Linked DNA regions of Macaca mulatta. The protein of the gene in region 4 purifies or fractionates together with the protein of the main gene of each other region. This does not show direct contact. Links are inferred from orthologs where the notes say so. Each region holds a gene or a part of one and is shown on either strand. Other genes may lie near its edges.

The links.
Region 1: the proteins of FYN (region 4) and CD36 purify together in Homo sapiens (affinity purification with western blotting; 3 studies listed by BioGRID). This does not show direct contact. The link is inferred for Macaca mulatta from reciprocal best matches to the Homo sapiens genes FYN and CD36.
Region 2: the proteins of FYN (region 4) and PDGFRB purify together in Homo sapiens (pull-down; 3 studies listed by IntAct, with this or other methods). This does not show direct contact. The link is inferred for Macaca mulatta from reciprocal best matches to the Homo sapiens genes FYN and PDGFRB.
Region 3: the proteins of FYN (region 4) and SKAP1 purify together in Homo sapiens (affinity purification with western blotting; 3 studies listed by BioGRID and IntAct, with this or other methods). This does not show direct contact. The link is inferred for Macaca mulatta from reciprocal best matches to the Homo sapiens genes FYN and SKAP1.

What each region holds. Positions count from the first base shown.
Region 1 is NC_133408.1:138,809,462-138,813,391, reverse strand, and holds part of CD36 (platelet glycoprotein 4), read left to right. Parts: intron 1-1,049; coding exon 1,050-1,119; intron 1,120-2,071; coding exon 2,072-2,259; intron 2,260-2,996; coding exon 2,997-3,115; intron 3,116-3,839; coding exon 3,840-3,913; intron 3,914-3,930.
Region 2 is NC_133411.1:159,091,167-159,095,096, reverse strand, and holds part of PDGFRB (platelet-derived growth factor receptor beta), read left to right. Parts: intron 1-447; coding exon 448-552; intron 553-913; coding exon 914-1,024; intron 1,025-2,071; coding exon 2,072-2,231; intron 2,232-3,202; coding exon 3,203-3,363; intron 3,364-3,904; coding exon 3,905-3,930. UniProt on the Homo sapiens protein: Tyrosine-protein kinase that acts as a cell-surface receptor for homodimeric PDGFB and PDGFD and for heterodimers formed by PDGFA and PDGFB, and plays an essential role in the regulation of embryonic development, cell proliferation, survival, differentiation, chemotaxis and migration.
Region 3 is NC_133421.1:61,830,260-61,834,189, forward strand, and holds part of SKAP1 (src kinase-associated phosphoprotein 1), read left to right. Parts: intron 1-2,195; coding exon 2,196-2,320; intron 2,321-3,930. UniProt on the Homo sapiens protein: Positively regulates T-cell receptor signaling by enhancing the MAP kinase pathway. Required for optimal conjugation between T-cells and antigen-presenting cells by promoting the clustering of integrin ITGAL on the surface of T-cells.
Region 4 is NC_133409.1:16,943,352-16,947,767, reverse strand, and holds the start of FYN (tyrosine-protein kinase Fyn), read left to right. Parts: upstream 1-1,532; 5' UTR 1,533-1,605; intron 1,606-4,416. UniProt on the Homo sapiens protein: Non-receptor tyrosine-protein kinase that plays a role in many biological processes including regulation of cell growth and survival, cell adhesion, integrin-mediated signaling, cytoskeletal remodeling, cell motility, immune response and axon guidance.

The DNA.
Region 1 (3,930 bases), on a different chromosome or scaffold from region 4:
AAATTTATTCAATGACGACTCGTATTAGTGATATTCATGTGAGAAGTACATGGAGGAGTTAACTAATTATTTCTTCATATATCCAGTGTTTGCCATGGATCATAGTTGTAGCAAAAAGTAAATTCAATAAATGACTTTTTTTATATACTTTCAAAGCATTTGAAGTTCTGTTTAGTGAGAGAACTTTAGTAAGTATTTTTAGAAGTATTCATCAGCCATAGGGCCAATGAAAAACAAAATCACTACAAATAAGAAATGTGGACATAGCAGGAGTTCCAAATGAACTTCCCTGGAAGAAAAGTGCCACTCTGCTGGTGGGGTGGGGCATTTCAAAAAACAAACACAATGTTAGCCTTGACATTTCATTTTATGTTTAAGTTTCTTTTATTTTGTACCATTAAATATGTATAGTATGTAGATTTGTTGTTGACTATAGCAGCCCCTAGCCATATGTAACTGTTAAGGACTCAAAATACGGCTAGTATGATTTGAAATGTGCTGTAAATATAAAATGCACCGTGGATTTTAAAATATTTTATAATGGTTACATGTTAAAATATTTTGAATATTAATAAGTTAAATAAAATAGCATTTGGTTTTGTTTTGTTTGAGACAAAGTTGTCCACTTGTTGCCCAGGCTGGAGTGCAATGGCACAATCTTGGCTCACTGTAACCTCCGCCTCTTGGGTGCAAGCAATTATCCTGCCTCAGCCTCCCAAGTAGCTGGGATTACAAGTGCCCACCACCACACCCGGCTAATTTTGTGTATTTTTAGTAGAGATGGGGTTTTACCATGTTGGCCAGGCTGGTCTCGAACTCCTGACCTCAGGTGATCCACCCACCTTGGCCTTCCAAACTGCTGGGCTTACAGGCTTGAGTCACCGTGCCTGGCCGGTTATTTCTTTTTACCTTTTAAAAATGTTGCTGCTAGATAAATAACTTAGGTAGTTTGCATTATATTTCCATTGACTACACTGGAGGAGAGATTTCTAGGTTTTTTTCTAGAACACATATTACATCTCATCATTTGCCACTCGATTTTTAAACAGATGCAGCCTCGTTTCCACCTTTTGTTGAGAAGAGCCAAGTATTGCAGTTCTTTTCTTCCGACATTTGCAGGTAAGAGAAAAACTGAAGTATGTCTGAGTCAGACCCCAGGTGACAAAATGCAGACCAAGAAACTTTATTATTTTTCTCAAATAATGATTAAACACAGCATAGAAAATTCATAATGTTTATTAACTCTGCAAAATATTCTTCTATATCTTCCAATTTTTAATAGCGTAAATCATTTTTTTGCTATTTCTATCTAAGCAAGAACCATTTTGCCTTTTTGAAACTAAACTAGTAGTCTAATAACAATGAAGTTCAGAAGGGTAAGTCCAGTCTTTCTAAAGACATACAGAGAAGATGATGCAGATGTAACAGAACTGTGTTCATGTGCTCTGCTCAAATTTGTGGGGCCCAGTAGATAACCCACGAACACTGGAGCCTTTACCACTACCCTCAAGCCCAAGCTCTGTCCCTAAAGACTGTATGATGGTGGGTAAGCATTTAACATCTCGGATTTGTTTTCTTATCTGTAAAATTTAAGACAGCAGTATTTCTTCATATAGGTGTATCTGGGGATTAGAAAAAAAATGTGTATTGAACCCTATGGTTCTATACAAGTAGACACTTGGTAAATGATGGAAATGTACCAGGTATATATCCAGCATGTATATGCACACACTCCAGTGAGTGGTCTTTCTCTCCAGGACTAATTAAGCTGTGAAAGAAACTTTATTTCATTTAAACTGATCACAAATAAAGTATTTGAAAGAAGTGCTATAAATATTTACTAACTTTGGTATAAATAAACATGGTACTTCACAAACAAGAATAGTTCATACTTGGGTATTGAGTTCTAGTATGTGTTAAAATTTCCCAATCACTTTTTTTCCTAAGAATGAAACAAGAATTTAAGATAGAGTGTATGATGTTTGTAAGGTAAAGCAAGAATAAGAAAAAATGAATCTCCAGAATGTAAGTTCAGGTTCCTGGAATGCAGCTCTTTTTTCTCTGTATTTAGGTCAATCTATGCTGTATTTGAATCCGACGTTAATCTGAAAGGAATTCCTGTGTATAGATTTGTTCTTCCATCCAAGGCCTTTGCCTCTCCAGTTCAAAACCCAGACAACCATTGTTTCTGCACAGAAAAAATTATCTCAAAAAATTGTACATCATATGGTGTGCTAGACATCAGCAAATGCAAAGAAGGTGAGTAAATATCCTCAGCAGCACAGTCCATATCATAATTTGTGATATTCTTTAAAATGAGACCTTTACCACAATCCCTTTGCAAGCAAAATTTAAAATTAAAGTAAGAAAGTAATTAGGGCAGAATGGTGGCAGAAAATTTTAGTGCTGATTTTGTATTTTGGGAAGGTCCCAAATATGTGTTTCAGTGTTACAAAATTTAGTTAAAACCACACTAGCATTTCTTTGTGGCTGCTTTTAGATTTAGGGTGAAATGAAAATAATTCCGAGAACACTTTGCGCATCCTGTTATCCATTTGTCATTGTTCTAACTTTTTTCACTAGAAAATGGTACAGGTAAATGTATTTTCAGTATGTATCTAAAGCTAGAGTTAAACATAAAATTTGGAGGCTAGCTTATACTGTACATATTTATCATACTAACATGGGTGTGGAGGAAGAAAAAAAAAAACTACTGTTAAATAAATTCTTAGTCCCTAGACATATTACTGCCTGAAAGCTGAACATATATAGTGGAAACTTTGGGTTCATCAACAAAACTCTATATATTGAAAATTAATACTGAAGGGGTTTACAGTAGAAATCAACTGATATAATTCTTCCCCACCCATGTTAAAAACAAAATATGTATTTTTTTTTTAATTTAAGAAGTTTTAGTTTTATGGAAATATTTTTTGAGTTATATATGAAATGAAGGAAGCTATTAATTCCAATTGACTCTTAAAACTTGTCTTCAGGGAAACCTGTGTACATTTCACTTCCTCATTTTCTATATGCAAGTCCTGACGTTTCAGAAACTATTGATGGATTAAACCCAAATGAAGAAGAACATAGGACATACTTGGATATTGAACCTGTAAGAAAACACATTATTGATCTGATTTGGTTGCTATTTTAAACAATACAATTGAAATAAAAATAATCTTGGAGATAACACTAATCATAGTTATTGAATCACATTCTTTTAAGTTACTGAAACTTACGTCGATTTTTTCCTATTGTTGTTTATGAAGTGATTCTAATTGGCTTAAAATATTTATATAAAATTATGCTTATGAGGAGTTATTGTATATTACGTAAAATTCAAAGAGTGAGTGTATGTGAATTTGACTATACTTATTGTTAAAATTTATAAAATTGTTATAGCACAACAGTTTTAATCTTTATTTTTGTATTTTCCTTTTCAAAAAGTAAATGAAATTCTAGAATTTTACTAGTCATGTTTTAGTTTAAACAATGACACAAGTAGTATTATAACTAATGATACATGGATTCTAACAGCATATATATTTGACCAGGAATTATCTGAGATCTTATATTTTGTTGTTGATTTCTTTAAACCATTTCAAGTAAATCACAAATCTAACTAAAACCTTGACATTCGATTGGGCAAATAAATTGTGTATCTATATGGATGCGTGTGTATATAAATATAACTATATAGAGAGTTTTAAAAGTTTCAAGTAGTCCTGTTTAACCTTAAGTTACTACCTTCTCTTCTGCTGTAAGAAAAATAAGTTTTGAATAGTATAAAAGAATGTTTTAAAAAGTTGGTAATTATTTAGTTGTTCTCTTTTTAGATAACTGGATTCACTTTACAATTTGCAAAACGGCTGCAGGTCAACCTATTGGTCAAGCCATCAAACAAAATTCAGTGAGTCTCTTGAAAAT
Region 2 (3,930 bases), on a different chromosome or scaffold from region 4:
CAATCCCCCAGGAACTGCCTAGCATTGAGATTCTATGATCCTGTGACCCCGTGAGACGGGGCCCCTATGTGACAAAAGTGGAAGAATTGAGGACAGGCTGAGTGGCAGGCCGGGTCTGGCTGGGGAAGCTGAGGGGGTACAGAGGAGCGTGCTTCCTTGGGGAGGGAAGAAACTTTCCAGAGATTAAAGATGGGGCAGAAAGCAGGCAGGACTTAGATGAGATGCCAGGAAAGACAGGGAGGCATTGTGGTTGCAGGAGTGTGTTTAGGGAATACCCTGAGTCCAAGGTGGTTTAAGTAATGTCTAGGTTGACCTAAGAGAGTGGCTCTCTCCCCTCACTGGGCAGGAAGGGTGGCAGCGGGGCGGGGGGTCGGGGGGAAGGGGGCAGCGGGGGGAGCGGTGCAGCTTCCTGGTAGGCCAGGAGCTGAGGGATCATCTCTGCACCAGGACGCACCCTCGGCTCTGGGGCCTTTGGGCAGGTGGTGGAGGCCACGGCTCATGGCCTGAGCCATTCTCAGGCCACGATGAAAGTGGCCGTCAAGATGCTTAAATGTGAGTAGTCCTTGGAGCCCTCCACATCTGGGCCTTCACCTCTCCCTGCCCCTCCCCACACACTTAGCCTCTCCCAGGGTGGCCTGATGCTGATTAGCAGGCACAAGAGGGGCCATCACACTGCAGCAGGCGCTGCTCCCGAGTCTGGTTTGGGAAAGAGGGTTCCTCACCCTGGCCGCCTTGGGCTGCCTCCCCCTACCCTGGCCTCTTCCCCTCCTCACAGTGTGGGTGCTCACCCCCCGCCAGGCTGCATGAGTCTTGCAGCACAGGGCGGGGCAGAAGAGTCAGAATAGGCTCCTGTGGTGGGGCCTCCGTGGAGCCCCCATAACTGGGCCTGCCCTGGGGCCCCCATTTTCCTCAGCCACAGCCCGCAGCAGTGAGAAGCAAGCCCTCATGTCGGAGCTGAAGATCATGAGTCACCTTGGGCCCCACCTGAACGTGGTCAACCTGTTGGGGGCCTGCACCAAAGGAGGTACCGAACCCACTGCCCCAGAGGACTCAGGGAAAGTGCCCACCACCAAGGCCAGGCCCCGCCTACCACCTCCTCAGGCCTCACTCAACAGCACACTCCTGCTGGAGGGTCCGTGCCCCCCCACTCCAGCGCCCCCACTGCACGGTCCCAGAGGGCAGTGGGGTTTAGAAACTCACAACGTCACAACACCTTCTCGGCTGAACGATTAGTCGGGTCACCAGTCCCAGCAGCTTCCAGACCATGGTGTTGGCTGATGCTTTTATTTTTACAACACATTTTGAAAACCAATAAATAACAGCTCACATGACATTAAGATGCGTTATACGCCCACCATTGGAGACCACCAGCTTGCTAATTGGGAGCTACCTTTATTTGATCATAGAAGAAAGTCTCTGTGGCCAACTGTGTTTATTTGAAGCTCTGATTGCCAGTTAGGCTGAAAAAAAAAACGTTATCACCATTTGCAGCTGCTTATTGTGAGATCTGGGATTTTCCTCAGCATTATGCAACCAAAACAAAATACAGAAGTATGTTGGGTACATAGACTTATTCACGTCCGCAATGATCACTCATTTCAAAATTTTTGTTCGCGTAGATATCTTCAAGTTCTCACTGACTGACTTTAAGTAAATGCATTGTAGTTGAATTTAACTACTGAAGTGATTATTGTAAACAGTGGCCTTTATCTGCTTTCTATACTGGGCTCCAAAGTAAGCTTTAGTTTGAAAACATATCAATAAGAGCCAACACTGCAGACTTGCCACGTGCCCAGCCAATAAAAACATCATCTCATTAATCCTCATGGCAGTGCTTTGTGGTGGGTTTAATTACCCCACTTAACAGCTGGGGAAGGTAAGGCTCAGGGAGACTCAGTACCTTGCTCTCTACCACAGAGGCAGGAAAAGAACCCAGATTTGCAAGGCACTGAAGCCTCCTAGCCGTCATGCCAAAGTGTCTCTCCCACATCCAGCCCCTGATTAGCCTCGTGGCCTTGAGGAGACGCCCGAGGCCTCCGTAGGGACTGTCCCTGAGCCTGTCCCTCCGCAGGACCCATCTATATCATCACTGAGTACTGCCGCTACGGAGACCTGGTGGACTACCTGCACCGCAACAAGCACACGTTCCTGCAGCACCATTCCGACAAGCGCCGCCCGCCCAGCGCGGAGCTCTACAGCAATGCGCTGCCCGTTGGGCTCCCCCTGCCCAGGTACCAGGAGGGAGGCCAGGGACTGAATCTTTGGGATACCTGAGGAGCACCGCTCCTTCCCCTCCCTTTGTCCGGGAGGAGAAGCTGAGGCTGTGACAGGGCAGGGAACAGAATCACCCCTGGAGCTAGGGCTGTTCTAGAAGGTGGCCCACCCGAGATGAGGGAATAACAGTGATGCCAGGCCCTGTGCTGCTAAGCCCTCTACACATGTGACATGCCATCCCTGTGTCGTGGGTGTTTGCCCTTCAGTCCCGGGCACGCAGTGATGGAGGAAGGGACAGAGGCTGTGGTGAGACGAGAGCCAAGCTCCCAGTTTGCGCAGCGGTGCTCCAGACTGTGTTCCTGTCTACAGCCTCTACACACCAGCCTCCACACTGCCCCTTAGGGAGCTCAACTCCTTTCTTCATCTTTTCCAAAAAGAACATTTCTTAGTTCTTTTGCTGATTACAAAAACAAAGACAAGAGTAGCTTCAGAAAAGCGTAAAAGACTGTAAAGCTCACTCCTGCCCTCTCCAATGTTTTGATCAATTTCCTTCCCATCTTTTTCCTGCCCGTAGAGACATGTGTGTAGAGCCCCACAGCCCTTTGGGGAGCTGACGCTACAGGCATAGGTATCGGGGTGACTCCTGGCTGCCCACACTGGGTTGCAGCCAGGCACTCCTGTGGCCAGGTGGCGCTGGGGAGGCCACAGGAAGGCGCCTCTGTACACACCCATCTTGTGACCTTTGCCTTGGGGCGCTGTCATCGCCTCTGGGTGTGAGCTCTGTGGGTTCTAACTGTCATTTTGGCAGCCTCAGTGCCCAGCTTGGCCCAGCAGGTTGGTTGAAAAGGGTCGATCCATGGGCATTCCTATTGGGATAGCCTGAAGGATGAGTGAGTGTGTGAGAGAAGAAATTCATGAGTGGCAAGGGGCAGGAGGGGAGGGGAAGGCAAAGCCTCCAGGCTCTTCTGTGATGCTCCTTTACCCCCAGCCACGTGTCCCTGACTGGGGAGAGCGATGGTGGCTACATGGACATGAGCAAGGACGAGTCGGTGGACTACGTGCCCATGCTGGACATGAAAGGAGATGTCAAATATGCCGACATCGAGTCCTCCAACTACATGGCCCCCTACGATAACTACGTTCCCTCTGGTGGGTGGACACAGTACCCCACACCCACGCAGGCTGATGCTCTTCACATGCCCAGCCTTGCCAAAAACCCTGGGAAGAAGGGAGTCTCGTGCCCATTTCATAGATGTGGAAATTGAGGCTAGCCACCTGGCAAAAACTGCTCTGTAGTGGACCGCTGTTTGTGGGTCCAGAAACATGCATAGAACCCACAGGGAGGGAGAGAGCAGGGATGTGGGAGGACCTGGCCTTTTGTGGTGCTAGGGAAAGTGATCTACTCAGCTTCGGCCCCAGGCTGGTCTAGTGTCCCTGAGAGGCAGGCAGGCAAGGGCTGGGCAAAAGTGGCCCAAGAGCTAATGCCAAAAGTGTTTCTGGCCAGTGAGGGCACTGATAAAGCAGGAGAACTTTGAGTTCAATATTAAGAAATCATTCTCCTTTTAGGGGGGACCTAGGCGATGAGTAGCCACCTGTCTTGGACATTCAGTTTCCCAGGAGCCAAAGGGCAGGGGTCCTGTGGGCCAAAAGGAGACATAAGATAGCAGGTGACCCTCTGCTTCTCCTCCAGCCCCTGAGAGGACCTGTCGGGCAACT
Region 3 (3,930 bases), on a different chromosome or scaffold from region 4:
TCGCGCCACTGCACTGCAGCCTGGGTGACAGAGCAAGACTCTGTCTCAAAAAAAAAAGCATCAATTCTTGTTGGGGCTTTCTTGTGCTGTGCACCTTCGAACAGAGGCCAGCGATACAGATTGAGTAGAGCCTTTTTTTTCCTTGCAGTCATTTTCTGTTTCTCCTTTCTTATTCCTTCCTCAAACATAGTCCTCTCCCAGTGCCTGGATATCCAATGTAGGGAATAATCAGACACCCACCCAGTTGCCTTTGTACTTCCTGCACCTGCAGTACTAAGGTAGTAGAAAGAAATACAGCCTCGGGCCAGGCGCAGTGGCTCACGTCTGTAATCCCAGCACTTTGGGTGGCCAAGGCAGGCAGATCATGAGGTCAGGAGTTCAAGACCAACCTGGCCAACACAGTGAAACCCCGTCTCTACTACTAAAAATACAAAAATTAGCCAGGCATGGTGGCAGGTGCCTGTAGGCTGAGACAGGAGAATCGCTTGAACCCAGGAGGTGGAGGTTGTGGTGAGCCGAGATCACGCCACTGCACTCCACCCTGGGCAACAGAACGAGACTCTTTCTTAAAACACTGAATCTTTGCTAAGTTACTTGAAATCCTTAAGATTTGCCCTTGGGCTTGGTAGCAATTGCCTCATGCTGCCTCCCTGCCTGCAGTAGTTATCACAGACCTTTGCCTACCTTTCACCATCCTACATCCCTCAGAACCTTTCCCATCTAGGGGCAAAGGCTAAAGCCCTGTTTGGAAAGAATAACAGCATAGTTTGTAAACTGAGCTACAAGTCCCATGTGTCCTTCCAACCCCCAACCCGCTCTCAAACCCAGCAACCACAATTTCTCCTCTAAATTATAGGCATACAACCCAGCCAGTTGTTCTTTTCTTATTTTAAACCTTCAAACTAATATGCCATTTGTCACTGTAAATATGTTCATCATTTCTTTTGCATTTAAATAAGTGGTTGGCATATCTAGATATAAAACCAGGTGTGTCACATCTGTTCATTCAGAATCTTCCATACTCACGGTGAGAAAGGAGGGGGGACAGTAAGAGCAAGAGACTCAGAGGCTTTTATTGACCATTTTGCCATCAGGGTGAAATAAAATCTGGTGACCAAAGAAACAACAAAACATTTTAGTGGCCGGTTAGAACAAGGAGAGATACTTTAACAAAAAAGATTCTGGTGTCAAAAAGCACTGTTCCATGGCTCCCTTCTTGCCAGTTATTTCTTATTGTGCCCATGACATTTTCTTAGTAAGAATAGTGTTTGTGTATTTCTTTTAGCTTAACCAGGTGAGGACAGAGTCTTTTTTCTTCTTCTTTCTTTTTTAATATTGTCAGCACACTGCCATCCTTCTCATCATTATCATCATCAAAAAGCATTTATTAAGCAATTCATTTCACATGATATAGAGCTCAAAGCATCCCAGACACTGTGGTTCCTGTTCTCTATGTGTTCTGCCTGAACCACACAATGAGGACAAAAATTCTTGAGAGCCACCTCCTCTTTTTCTGTTTCTAACACTTTTTTTTGGTAGTGACAAGCAGAAGTCTCTCTTCACTTAGGGTCCTTTTCCTTTTGTCTCCTTCCTCGTCATCTAATAATACTCAACATTATTCTGCTACTTCTCAGGTTGACCTCTTACAAGGAGGATAAATACTGAGTTTTAATCATTCTCCCTCTAGCATAAATTCCCACCTGACCAGCAGGGAAGGGGGAGAGAAGTTTAGCTCAAATGCTACATAGGGCATGGGAGGCAATTCTGGGACCTTATAATGCCCCCCTGTGCTGCTGTCCCTCCCCTCAAATGTGAGCTCTGCTGGCCCTGATAATAATGTTTCAGCTCTATAATAGCCTTCAAGAGCCTCACATTTACAGCCACACTCTCCCTGCTGTAATAATTCCTTCTTTCTGTTATTATAGATCTCTTAACATTCTAATAAATTCTCTGTCTCTGTTGTACTCTTTTGGCAAAATAACCTTTCACGTTGCATTTCCCTAGCTTGGCAGTGATATCTGCCTTACTGTCGCAGTAGCCTCTTCTTCAGCTTCTCTAATAACCTTTCCTTGACTATTGTGGTTCCTCAGGGATGTAACAGCTGTTTCTGTGCTTTTATTTTACATACCAGAGAAGATGCCTTCCCTTGGCAGTTGCATCTCTCTAGGGATACAGGGAGCTTTCCTGTCTTGCAGGCAAGCAGCCCAAAGGGACCTTCCTCATTAAGGGCTACAGTGTTCGGATGGCCCCCCACCTGCGAAGAGATTCCAAGAAAGAATCCTGCTTTGAACTGACCTCCCAGGATAGGCGCAGCTATGAGGTAGGACGCACCGAGGAGATGGTGATCCTTGTTGGTGTTGCAGTTTCCTTTCGTGTTGCATGTGAGCCATGGTTGCTATGCTGGGTTCCAGCCTTTCTTTGTTACCTGCTCATTTCATACCAACTAAGACCCTATTTCTTGACATGTCTTCACATTTGCTATGCCACACCCTCCCCTCTGTTGCCACTCTCATCCTAGATACAGACTTTGCTTGGCTTCCATCCTTCATTCCTCCTCTTCTCAATTTCAATTCATAGGTGAGATGCTTGTCAGTTGCAGCACACAATCCAATTCCTTACTTATAGTCTCTGATTTTATGGTTTAAATTCCCATTCTCTTTATTTTTCAACTGATTTTCTTCACTTCCTCCCATAAAACCCAAAAAAAGAAGATCTAACTGTAGAGTGAAAAAAAAATTATTTTCCCATGTTCATCTTGCTATCCAAAATAATCTTCCTGTATGTCGATGCTTTGCATATCTCTGGAAGGATTTCTAAGGTATTGGTGACAATAGTTAGTAATAATAATAATTGAAGGACTAGAGGACCTGGTTGGGGCATGAAAGATTTATTCCTTACTATGCTCAGTTTGAATCTTTACCTCATTATAAAATTAATTTGTTTCATTTTATTTTTGCCATCTTCATCCTGAATGACCAATAAAATTTAAAAATTTCTGACTGTGGAAATATAGTGATTTTCACCAAAAATGTATGTGTGCATGTGTGTGTGTATTGTTTTCTGCTCTTTGGTAATGTTTATCTTATTACAATTTTATTAAAGCAATTTAGAAAAACTTTAGCTTATGAAAAAGGAAAACACCATACTAAGAGTAAATTAACCACTTAAATAACACTTTTAGTCTTCAGACTTTTCTCAGCATTCTTCTTTTTATTTCTACAGTATCTTAACTCTTATTTTGTTAAAGGACCTAGGTCTTCATTATGTAATTTCCAGAAATTTTTAAAAATTTGAATTAAAATTTTTTATAGAGTCCTTTATGAATATATATAAAATAGATCTATGCACTGAATATGTTCCTAGTTATTTTTATTATTATATTCTGATAGTAACACATCCAGATAAAAGTTTATGTAACAAGTCTAAACAAGTATTTCTAGAAATGTTTTTATAGAAATTTGTTTTTAAGAAATCAAGAATAACAATGTCTATTAATAAGTATTATGCAGGAATCCAGTTTCTTTGTGTAGCAGATATCTTTACCTTACCTTAATGGTCAGATAATTAAAATATTTTTCAGGGACAATTATTTCAAGTTGATTCATTTAAAATAAAAAACTTACTAAGGGCTGATGCTTGACTGGCCTATTTTGTAAATCAGAATGTATTTACTTCTTTTCTTTGGCCTATTGAATCCAAATCATTACCATGGTCCATGGATTCTTCTTCTACAATATCCTTCGGCTCTTTCCCTTCTTCTTTATTCCCACAGCTATCACAATGGTTAAGTTCCTGTCACTTCATCCAGAGGACCAGTTGGTCTTCTATCTCCAGATTTCTCTATTCCAATCCTTCCTACTCACAGCTATTGAAAGAATCCCCACTCCCTTTGCTAGAGCTGATAGTGGCTTCCCGTTGCCTACATTTTAA
Region 4 (4,416 bases):
CACAGAAGCAGAAGCTGATTCACTTATAATTTCTTAGAACATTAGATTTGCTGAGGGGGAAAGGTAGGGTTCTTGCCAAAATCATTAAGGAGAGCGATTCTGAGTATGCCTTAAAGCAGAACTTTCAGTAAACAGGAATTACCTATAAAGAAAATCAGGAAGCCAAAGTGTTTCTTTTCATGAAGTTACATCCTGCCATAGAAAAGCTGGATAGGAAATAAAGACCGATGCACTCCCAACTGTATACTAAACCGGCAATTATTTCATCAAGGGAAATCTGAGCAAAAGCTCAGATTCTGTGAAGGGGAAAAAAAACATGAGAGGTTTGAATGTCATAAGAAACCAAAGACAACCAATGGCTACAATTAAACAAGGTTTTTTTGTGGGGGGAAATGTACGAACAAATCTCTGTGATTTCAGGTTCTTTAGTCGCTGCTCGCCCCTCCCCCCATTTCAGTAATACTTCCTCTAGACTTTTGCTAGAAAAGAAATATAAATAAGTGTCTCCAGAAATAGGGGACTGATAAAATGATCCTAATCTCCTTCTCCTCCTCATTGTTATTTGTTGTGCGTTTCCACGTTTCAGTGACAGGATTCTACTTTGTTCGCTACTCTTTTCAGTTTGATCAAAGAAAACGCTGCTATCACCGTCCAGACAATTTTCCATTTCATCCTCTCACCCTCAAATGAAAAGACACCAGAAAGGCAAGATAGCCCTGTCTCGAGGCAGGTTCCCATGGTTTGGGGGGAATGGCAGGTGTCAATCTGCAGCAGCAGCTGCAACCTTCCGCAAAGCAGAAACTGCAGTTCACACTTTCCGCTCTTTCTCCCGCCCTACTCCGCCACCTCACAACTCCACACAATCCTTAAAAACACACAGACCTCCTCCTCCAACCTCGCATCCTCTTGCACACCCTGCACCGCACGCACCCTGGGATGCCCGCTGCCACAGTAACGCTCAACCCACTCGGCGGCCCCACCCACTGCCGTCCCGCCCACGCCCCAGGCGCCAATGGTTGAGGCCCGCAGCTCCCAAGGGGCTCCTTGATAGGGCAGCGGGGCCTGTCACTCTCGGGGCGCACCCCGCCCCCTCCTCGCTCCCCTCCGGAGCTGGAGGGGCCGAGCATCAGCAAGAGTAGCAGCGAGCAGCCGCGGTGGTGGCGGCGGCGCGTCGTTGCAGTTGCGCCATCTGTCAGGAGCGGAGCCGGCGAGGAGGGGGCTGCCGCGGGCGAGGAGGAGGGGTCGCCGCGAGCCGAAGGCCTTCGAGACCCGCCCGCCGGCCGGCGGCGAGAGTAGAGGCGAGGTTGCCCTGCGAGCGGCGCGTCCTCTCCCGCCCGGGCGCGCCGCGCTTCTCCCGGCGCACCGAGGACCGCCCGGGCGCACACAAAGCCGCCGCCCGCGTCGCACCGCCCGGCGGCCGCCGCCCGCACCAGGGAGGGATCCGGCCGCCGGGCCGGGGACACCCCGGCGCCGCCCCCTCCGTGCTCTCGGAAGGCCCACCGGCTCCTGGGCCCGCCGGGGAGCTCCCGGAGCCGCCTCGGCCGCGCCGGAGGAGGGCGGGGAGAGGACCATGTGAATGGGCTCCGGAGCCTGAGCGCCGCGCAGGTAAGCAGGCGGCGGGGATGCGCCGCGAGAGGCCTCGGGGATGCTGCGGAGACGCCCGGCCGCCGGCGCCCCCGCGCACGCCGCCCCCGCCGCGGGGCCCGGCGCTGCGGTCCCTCGGCCGCCGGGGCGCCCCGCGGGGCTGCTGGGGAGTCGGCGCTCGGGGTCTTCGCGTGGCTGCACCCGAGGACACCCCTGCGGGGTGCGGCTCCGAGGCGGCGCGGGGATGGGGGCCCCATTTCCTCGCCCGCAAGCGGGCGCCGAGTGAAAATTGGAATTGGCTTGGGGGTGAGGCTGGCCCAGACTCCGCCCCCGCCCTCCTTTCGGGGCCCCCAGCGGGGACTGGGGCTGTGTGTGTTGTTTTAATGTCAGGGATGATGTAATCACTTAATAATTGATGCCCCGTGCTGCTTCCCTCCCCACCCAACCCCTGCCCCACTCCTCCACCTCTCGGCCTCCTCCCTCGGCGGCGGTCGCCTTCTCCAACCCATCCTCCTGCCTATTTCTGGCACCTCCCTTGCACTTCCCCCATCCTCTCCTTCACTCTTCCTGTGCCACCACCCACCCACCCTTCCCCTTTCCCCTGTGCTAGAGCCTTTCCTTCTCTTCCTCTGTCCCTCACCCCTCTGCTCCCTCCAGCTCCTTTCTCCTTCCTTTCCGGCTCCCTCTCTGGATTTCCTCTCTACTTCCCTAGATCCATGGCTGTTTTTGTTTGGGCTCCTCCCCTCTCTTATCTCTGCGGCCACAGGCGGAGGGGACTGGGCCAGAAGGAGGCCACCGAGCTTGGGCCCAGGGAGAGATGTGCTGGGACTCACTGGGAAGATGGATAATAAAATCACCCTTCTTGCCCCTCCTTCCCCCAATAAATCACACAGACTCGCCGGGTGTGTGTGTGTGAGTGTGAGTGTGACACAAAGAGCCCTTTCAGTGCATAGAAAGGAGACACACAAAGTACCCTAGGATAGGCACGATGCTTCTTGTCTCTCCTCCCTGGGGCTTCCCTTTCTTTCCCATGAAGCAGTTGGTCTCTCTGAGTCTTTCCTGCCACATTTACCAAAAAATAAAAGAACCCCCAGATGCCGGGTGGCAGGTGTCGGCATTTTGCTGTGTTCACAGACCAGTAGTGTTGACTGGCAGCTGCAGTGTTTCTTAGATTTAAGGGGACAATTATTCCAGCAGTCTTAAGAGTTGCTTTACTTTTAAGGTAGCCTCCCTATCCCTATTCTTTCCCCTCTTCTTTTGGGGACAAGTACTAAGAGCTGGGGTAGAGTAAATTGGTGTGGGGGTCACAAGAATTTTGTTTCTGAATCAGAATTAAATTGGTATTTGATAAGGGGGAGGCAACCTGACTGGCTTCTTCTATCAAGTCTAAGAGGTCACTGTGCTGATGTCTTTTGAAATGAAATCCTGTCAGCCCAGTGATGTTGTTTTACCCTTTTATTGAAGTAAATACCTGGGGACGTGGATAAAACGGTCTAGAGTTAGCATTTGGAAGACCACTGCAGACTGTCTTTTGCCTGCTTCAAGGTAGTCTTGGGACGCCCACTTCCTTTCTCACCACCCAAGCAACTGCAATACTTTCCACCCTTTGTACTGTCTTCTTCCCCAGTCCCTGCTCCATGGTTACCCTGTGTTCAGATAAAGGGACTCGCAGACTTTTGGAGGAAGTGGTTTAACTATATGAGGCTTTGGGGCCACTTGGCTATGAACTGGGGCTGTAGAGAATCTTGACTGAAGTCTAAACCATCTGATGTTCTTTTTAAGGAGGAAATGTTAATGTAAATCTGGGGGCTTAATGTTCCGTTTTGTAAACCAGTGACTATTACACGCTTAATCGATATTGTCAAAACTTAAGTGAAACCCGTTCTTCCCTAAAAGTATGGCTCCTCGACTATTATAAGTAACAGAACTGTAGGTTTCTTTTTCAGTAATTTTATTAGAAAAGAGTTATGATTCGTGAAACATTTACTTATGTGCTTTTTAAGAACATTAATCGTGGAGCTTTTTACATTAAAAAAAGCAATAGGGTTAATGAGTGTACTGTGAAAACAAAGGGTCGTTTGTTTGATGCCGGACCCAGGAAGGAAAGCCAGAGCACATAAACTCGCACTCTGTTGACCAAGTTTGAGAGACTTAATGATAAGGTTGAATGTGAGCAAATGCACACTCTGCTTTCTCCTGGGTCTGCGATCTCTAACCCCATCTGACTTCCTTGAAGTCCTTTTTAACCTTTGGCGCCCAGCTCAAATGTCATCTCCTCTGTGAAGCCGTTTCCATCTTCTCCTTTCCAAACAAATCATCATATTTTGGTTTCAAACTTTGGCAGCAGTTACTACGTTTGGCATGAGTCTATTTCCACCATTAGTTGGTCAGCACATTGATAAAAGGAACCTTATCTTATTTATCTTGTTTCCTACCAAGTTTTATCTTAGTGGGTACTCTGTTTCATTTAACAATCAACAAATGTGAGTTAGGTCTTTGGTACGTGTTCAACACCTGTATCAATTAGGCTAATGTTAGCAGTTGTAACAAATAGGCCTGCAAATATATAATGGCTCAAAAGCAATAGATGTTTATTCTTGCTCATTTAATAGTCTAAAGTTCATGTTTCTGATCTGTAGGTGGCTTTCTGCCATGCAGTGATTCTGGGTCCCACACCCCTATCTTTTAGCTCCACCATCCCATAGCTTACCATTGGAACCTGTTTCAGCTTACAGAAGGGGCAACAGAGAGAGTAGACGGGGCACACCCACTTTTGAAATACCTTAGCCTGGAAGTGACACCATCACTTCCTCTCACAGTCTTTACTTGAGG